Rattus norvegicus: one gene and its partner. The protein of the gene in region 2 binds, or shares a complex with, the protein of the main gene of each other region. Links are inferred from orthologs where the notes say so. Each region holds a gene or a part of one and is shown on either strand. Other genes may lie near its edges.

Region 1 (3,649 bases), on a different chromosome or scaffold from region 2:
AGCCGTACCTCGCAGCCCTCCTGTAGTTCAGTATAGAATAATAGAAGGGATTCGTGCTTTTCATTCACATGTGTAGTGACGACAGTGGTTTACAGACTGGAAAGACAGAGGAGCAGGAGTGAGCTTGGATCTTGTAGGCAGAGATAATGACGGAATCCACACAACTACCTGAGAAGGGAACACTGGAGTCAGCATCAGCTGTACACGTGCCTGCCGCTCGGCCTTTAGGCCTTACACTTTCTAGTCAGGAGACCGAGAGTGAAGTCTCTGCTGTCGCTTTAATGCTCTGTGGATTTGGGTTACAGTTAACCATTTCTCTATCTGACTTGTTCTGCTTGCCGGTATGGAATCTGTTTCTCATTGTTATACCCAAGAAAACGGCTAATATTCTCAGAGAGACGGGTGGGCTTCTGTAGCAGAGGCAAGCCTGTAGGAGAGGTGGCTGAGTCCATCAATCAGGACTGGGTAGGAATCCATAGTGCTTTTTGAAACAGGTCTAGAGTTCATAGAGTACAAATCTTCCCATTCCTCAGAGGTAACTGCTGTTTCTGTTTGGTGCACAGTCCATGTAGAGCCTCTTCCTTTGTGGTCACAGAGGATGTGGACTGTTTGGTTAGCCGCTTGGATGTTGCTGGAACGAAAAGCTCTCCCCTTGGTTTACTGTTCCTCACTGTGACATTCAGAAGAGCTCTGCATTTGCCGTCGGCCAGTAATGGAGATTACTGAGCATTATCATGCTGGCCTTAGATTTATGGTAGCTGACCTCGCCGAGTGGGTGCCTTGGTTCTTTAGTTAGACATATATGTGTAACAGTTTTGGTGTACATGAAGGTGTTTGGGAGGATAGATGGCTGAGATGAGCCTGATAGTTAAGTGTGGTGTGTGACTGTGACGTGTGCTCTTCTAAGCTTGTGTTTAATGGTCTGTCCTGTTCTGTTTTCTCAACTCAGGCGCTATCTCCTCTGAAGAAATCATTAAGTACGCACACAGGATCAGTGCCAGCAATGCTGTATGTGCTCCACTGACTTGGGTTCCAGGTAACAGTGCTTCTTTTCAGATGAATGCAGGTTAAGCGTCCTGAGGTGCATCTGTAGCATTCTAAGTGCCTGTGTAGAACACAGAAGGATACTGTAACTAATTCCTGTTACATTGTTTTTACCAAGCAGTGATGGGAAGTGTTTTTTCCATTTTACTTTTAGTGCTAATAGGTCAATCTGGGACACTTTCAAAGCAATAGGTTCATATACTTGTAACACCCAGGCTGGCCAGAGCCAGTCCTTCAGTGCCATTATATTCCTGCAAAGCCTCAGCCTGAGAGGCAGTCACAGAACAAACACCCAGCGCAGTTCACCAGCCGGGAAGAGCGGGAGCATTAGGGACAGCAAAGATAATACAGTGCAGTCCCAGCACTGCAGATCAAGTAGGAGATGGGAAACCAGAGCTGGAGCAGCGGCCTCCGTGGAGGATGGAGAGAGCCAACTGGGCTCTGCTCACTCCTGACCGGTGTTTGTTGTTGCTGAACACAATGACGGTGGCTGCAGTCTGAGGATGGGTAATTCCTGGTGAGAAATATTACCAAATTTGGGTGTGGGTGCCATCCCAAACTGCTATTCAGTGTCCCTCTTTGATGGGAATGACAGTAGGTTCTTGTGATAAAACTGGAGAGGTGTAGAAACTAGTCTGTGTATGTTTCTTTGTGACAGGTTTATGTCTCCTAGTCTGGTTCTATCTTATGTATTTGAAGGTGACCTTGAGCTGTCCCACCTCCACCTTGAGTTGCCTCTGTGCAGTCCTATTTCTACTTCCAAATGCTGGGCTACGGGTGTGATTATAGGCGATGTGCCCACCACCCCTACTTTTTTTACCACCCCCATGTTTTTTACAAAACATAGAATGTATATTCCTGGGAGGATTCAGAGAAGAAACAAAAATGTGTGCATTTTGAAAATTAATATTGGGAGCTAGAGAGATGGCTCAGTCATAAAGAGCACTAGCTGCTCTTGCAGAGAACCTGGTTCAATCCCAAGTTCACACATGGCAGTTCACTTGTCTGTAACTCCAGTTCCCCCGGACTTCTGACACCCTCACACAGACATGCATGAGGCAAAACACCAATGCACATAAAAGAAAAATAAATGATTTTAAAAAATTAATATAATATAGTCTCTTTCTCCTCCAGCCCCCTTTCTTTTATTCATTGAGAGACAGTTTCTCTGTGTAGCCCTCCCCGTCCTGGAACTCACTTTGTAGACCAGGTCAAGTCAGAGTCCTGCCTCGCTCTGCCTCCTGAGACCTGGGACTAAAGTTGTGTGCCGCCGTACCCAGCTTGAGAATAGTAATGGTAACCTCAGGCAAGGTGTGGTAGCACATAGCGTAGGCAGCTGTGAAGAGGCCGGGGCAGGCCTGCAGCCTTGAGGCTAGCATGACTACCTGCTGAGACCTGTCTTACAAGCGCTCCGGTCCTTTAGTGTGAACAAGGACAGCTAATTCTTCAAGAATATATACATGATTTTAAACCTGAGTTAAAAGCTGTCTTTATTGTTTTAGGAGACCCTCGACGGCCATACCCAACTGATTTAGAGATGAGAAGTGGATTGCTGGGTCAGATGAACAATCCTTCTACCAGTGGTGTGAATGGTCACCTCCCGGGAGATGCCCTTGCAGCAGGTAGACTGCCAGGTAATGCTAACTGGATAGGCGTTTTCAAGCGACAGGGTTATTCAGAGGTGGCCGTGAGGCAGTGTCTAGCATTGGGCACCAATATTGTTACATAGATTCCCTACCAGTTTATTGTTCTGTGCTTCATCCAAAGACCCAGCAGTGGTGCATAGGTCACTGACCTAAGCCACTCTGTCCCTCACGTGCATCTATCTCCTATCACCCTCCCCAGGCCTGGCCTTCCCTTATCGTGACCACTCTGAAGAGCATTTTTGCAGTTCTGAGGCATGCTCACAAATAGAATAAGCTCATTTTGTAGGTGCCATGTTTAATGTGAGAGAATCTTTCTAAGGAGAGGACATAAGTGGGGGACTGTGCTTTCTGAAGCTATCACTTCTGTGTTAACATGTGGGTTTGGGAATCTGCTCATTTGTGTTTAGTATTGCGAATCCTTCTTGTTAGATCTTGGTACTGTAAGGTAAGTGGGTAGGTAGATAAGATTAAGATTCTTGCATAGAGGGCGGGGATCGAGTAGATGGATCACAAGTAGAACCAATCCCTTATGCTTCTTCTCCTCAGATGTCCTTGCTCCACAGTACCCATGGCAGTCAAATGACATGTCTGTGAACATGCTGCCGCCAAATCATAGCACTGACTTTCTGTTGGAGCCTCCCGGGCACAACAAAGAAAATGAAGATGACGTTGAGGTTATGTCAACAGATTCCTCAAGCAGCAGCAGTGACTCTGACTGAGAAAGGGGTGGCATGCAGACTCCACTGCCACAGAGTTCTGTCAAGTGGGAAATGGAAAGCACAGACCTCTAAGGAGCCCAGGAAAGTCAGTGGTCTTTCTTCCTGTAGCCAGAACTGCTGGTTCTCATCTGTTACACACGTGTTTGAGGGTTTGTCACAATTACTGTTGTGCTTGGTTTGTACATAGCAGCTATGGGATGAGACTGAAGGAGAACTGCACAACTCATGGAGAGTACTTAC
Region 2 (3,749 bases):
CATATCACAAATCTTACTTTTAGCCCCGAGGCAGGGTTTCTCTGTGCAGTCCTGGCTGTCCAAAAACTCTGTAGACCAGGTTGGCCTCATACTCACAGACAGCCACCTGCCTCTGCCTTCGGAGCGCTGGGAATAAAGGCACGCACCACAGCCAGGCAAACCTGACTGCCTTTGGCATTACGGATACTAAAATTCATTGGAAATCTTTCAGTAGAGAGATTATTTCGTAACGACTGGTTTTCACTATGGAGCTTGAAGTGGCTATGAATTTGCGATCCTCCTTCCTTTTTGGGATTATAGGAATGTGCTACTTCTCCAGGCGTTCAAAGAGCTAACTTTTTCTGTTGTACTTTGTGTTTTGTTTGTTTGTTGGTTTTTTTTTTTTTAAATTTTTTTTCTTTTTTTTTTCCGGAGCTGGGGACCGAACCCAGGGCCTTGCGCTTGCTAGGCAAGTGCTCTACCACTGAGCTAAATTCCCAACCCCTGTTTGTTTTTGATACAGAGTTTCTCTTTGTAGCAGTGGCTGTCCTGGAGCTCACTCTGTAGATCAGGCTGGCCTCGAACTCAGAGATCCACTGCCTACTGAGATAAAAGGCTTGCGCCACCAACGCTGCGCCAAAGAGCTAACGCTTCTAATTTACAAACGTGTATCTGACAAGATGCAAAGTTTCTAAGAGATGTCAACTCTTTCCACGGAAAGGTGTGAAGACTGAGCCAATCGGAGACAGTCCTGTTGGAAATCCCGCGGGAAGGGCGAATCAGCCAATTTCCGCGAGATTTTGGTGCTGTTCCTTCTTCCTCTGCCTGCAGGAACACGATTAATCTCGCGATCTTTGGGAAGTTCCGTTGGGGAAGATGGCGGCGGCCGCGAGCACCCTTCTCTTCTTGCCGCCGGGGACTTCAGACTGAACCTTCCCCGGAAGAGTGGGGGCCGCTGGTGCGCTGCTTCCCCGGAGTCCAGGCTAACTTGGTTCCCCTCTTAGTGGTGGGGAAAGGCTCCCTGGCTTGTGGCGGACCCAAGACCTCACCGCTGTCAGGATGAAGGCTCAGGGGGAAACCGAGGGTGAGTGACTAGGGGGTGGGGGGGAAGAAGGGGCGGGACACAACTGTGGGGAGCCAATCTGTGAGCGGAGGTGGGGACCCACGCCCCCCCCGTCCCCCCAGGGCCACTGTGCACGGAACTGGATCCAGGTGGATCCTGACCGAGCTTTACGGATGTTGGAGCTCCTACACTGAGGCTCCGCTCCGCCTCGCCTCCCCTTGTGAAAGATTTTCTGCAAGACTAGGGACAAGTAGATGAGCTTCAGGTTACTTTCAGCTTAGCCTGGTGGGTTACCAGGAGAGTGAAACTGAAACTTGATGCTTTGTTCCAGGAGAGATCGCTGAAGATGACACTAGAACAATGTGTCAAAGTGATGGAGGATGTTTTGGTGTGAGTGACATGGTGCGGTCTTTATTATAATAAAAGCTAGTAGTTTCTTGGAATGTCATAGTGTTCAAATACTGTGCTGTGTTTTTAAAAACTACTCTTTCAATTGTTCCTGAATAATGGCTTTAAAGCTCGGGGGAAATGTATTCAGAACTATGAACTAGCAGGAACAAAACCCAAACCACTTTCCCAGTTGAAGGAAGAAAAGGGAAGGGATTGAGTCTTTTTTGTTTTCTTTCAAGACAAGGTCTTCCTGCATCAGCCTCCCAAGTGCCAGCTTAACATACCATCATAGCCAGCTAAGAGTTTAAATCTTGGTTTAACTATCCCCCTCCTAACCTTAACTCAGATAGACTGGCTTATCCAAAATGAAGTCTCGACATTTTTAGGAAAGTGGACGATACTCAAAATAAGCTGTATTTAGCTAATACCACATTTTCTCTTATGCGGAATCTCAATTTAAGTATGTGTTGGCGTGGTGTACTGGTTGTCAAAATATGGGACCATGTGAGAAAGAAGGAGATCTTCAGGATAGAAAGGTAAATGGAGTTTGAACTAAATGGAAGCCTTGACTGTTTTGAGGTTGGGGCAGGGGTGGCTGTCAGAGGAAGAAGACTCAGACCCAGTGTAACATCTTACATCTATAAGAATGCCAAAATGATACCCATTGCTTTGTTTGTTAATTTAAAAATAATTTAGAGGCTGCAGATATTAGAGCAAGGTCGTTTGCCCACAGGTTCAATCCCCAGCACCAAAAGAAAAGGAAAAAAGGAGAAAGCAACAAAAATGAATGATGTCATTGTTTTCATACTAAAAACTAATTATAGAAATGCCTAGCTCAAATTGTGCTCAAAATATATCCTTCAAGGTATTGCATCCCTATGTATGCAATTACAAGTTTTTTGTTTGCTTCAGTGGATAGTTTGAACAGAAGCTGGGCATTGCATACCTGTAGTCTCACCACTGAGAAGGTAGAGGCAGGAGGGGCAGGACTTCCCGACTGCCCTTTCCTTCTCAGCAAGTTCAGGCTCATTTAGGCTAAGTAAGACCTTGTCCAGAAAAAAAAAAAAAAAAAAAGGCTGCCAGTCAGTTGGTAAAATGCTTCCTGTGCATACATGAAAACAGGCCTGAATTTGGTCCCCAAGTGGTGATGATTCATGCCTTTAATCCTAGTACTTAGTAGGCAGAGGCAGGGGGATCCCTCAGTTTGAAGCCAGGCAGGTCTACAAAGAGACAGGACAGTCAGAGAAGCTCTGTCTTAACCCCAACCCCCCAAAATAAATAAAAAAGAAGGCGTCTGGGGGCTGGAGAGATGGCTCAGTGGTTAAGAACACTGTCTGTTCTTCCAGAGGTCCTGAGTTCAAATCCCAGCAACCACATGGTGGCTCACAACCATTTATAATGATATCTAGTGCCCTCTTCTGGCCTGCAGGCATACATGTAGGTAGAATGCTGTATACATAATAAAAAGTCTTAAAAAAAAAAGGCGTCTGTTTATAGTGGCATACAGCCATAGGAGGCTAAAGAAAAGGAGACAAGAGATGACTGAGGAGAGTCTGGGCTGTAATGCAAGCCCGGGTAGAGGGACAAGCATGTGGAGGCCACCCCTTATATTTCTGTATTTGGAGGTGGTCTACTGTAGCTACTGTGGGCTCTGGGGCGTGAACCCAGGCTCTCATGTTTGGCATGGGATGCCTCTACTCAGGGAGCCACCTTGTCAGCCTCCAAGGTCATGCTCAGCTAGATGGACTTGGGGGTCAGCGGGGTGGCGAGAGAATGTCTGAAATGAAGGAAAAGCAGGGAGGGGCTGGAGACAGAGCTGGGGAGTTTTTGGCATGGGTTTAGATTTGGCTCCCAGGAAGCACATGCCCACAGGGCAGCTCACAACCATTTGTAGCTTTAGTTTCAGGAGTCTTGGTGCCTTCTAGCCTCCCTGCACAGACGTGTTATACATGCATGAGTCAAAAAACAAACAAAAAACCAAACACACACAACATAAATCTTTTTTTCTTTAAAGAATATGGGTTTCATGTGTGTAGTGGTTTTGTCTTCCTGTATTTCTGTGTACCAAGTATATACCTGGTGCCCTCAGAGTCCAGAAGAGGACAGCAGATTCCCTGGGACTGGATTTACATGTGGCCGTGAGCTGCCATGTGGGTGATGGGACTTGAACCCAGATCCTCTGAAAGAGTAGCTAGTGCTCTTAAAGGATGCGTTAGGCATTGTCAAACAGTACTTTGATGCCATACTTAAGAGGCAGAGGCAGGTGGATCTATTTGTTCAAAGCCACCCTTTTTAGACCCCGTCTAACACCAAACAA

What was found. Proteins that work in one complex are often made in the same cells at the same time.
Region 1: Med1 (region 2) and Med4 share a complex: the UniProt entries of both Homo sapiens proteins name them as parts of the mediator complex. The link is inferred for Rattus norvegicus from reciprocal best matches to the Homo sapiens genes MED1 and MED4.

The regions. Positions count from the first base shown.
Region 1 is NC_086033.1:55,112,448-55,116,096, forward strand, and holds part of Med4 (mediator of RNA polymerase II transcription subunit 4), read left to right. Parts: intron 1-949; coding exon 950-1,036; intron 1,037-2,546; coding exon 2,547-2,678; intron 2,679-3,236; coding exon 3,237-3,409; 3' UTR 3,410-3,649. UniProt on the Homo sapiens protein: Component of the Mediator complex, a coactivator involved in the regulated transcription of nearly all RNA polymerase II-dependent genes.
Region 2 is NC_086028.1:83,682,635-83,686,383, reverse strand, and holds the start of Med1 (mediator of RNA polymerase II transcription subunit 1), read left to right. Parts: upstream 1-838; 5' UTR 839-1,038; coding exon 1,039-1,063; intron 1,064-1,893; exon of another isoform or gene 1,894-1,968; intron 1,969-3,749. UniProt on the Homo sapiens protein: Component of the Mediator complex, a coactivator involved in the regulated transcription of nearly all RNA polymerase II-dependent genes.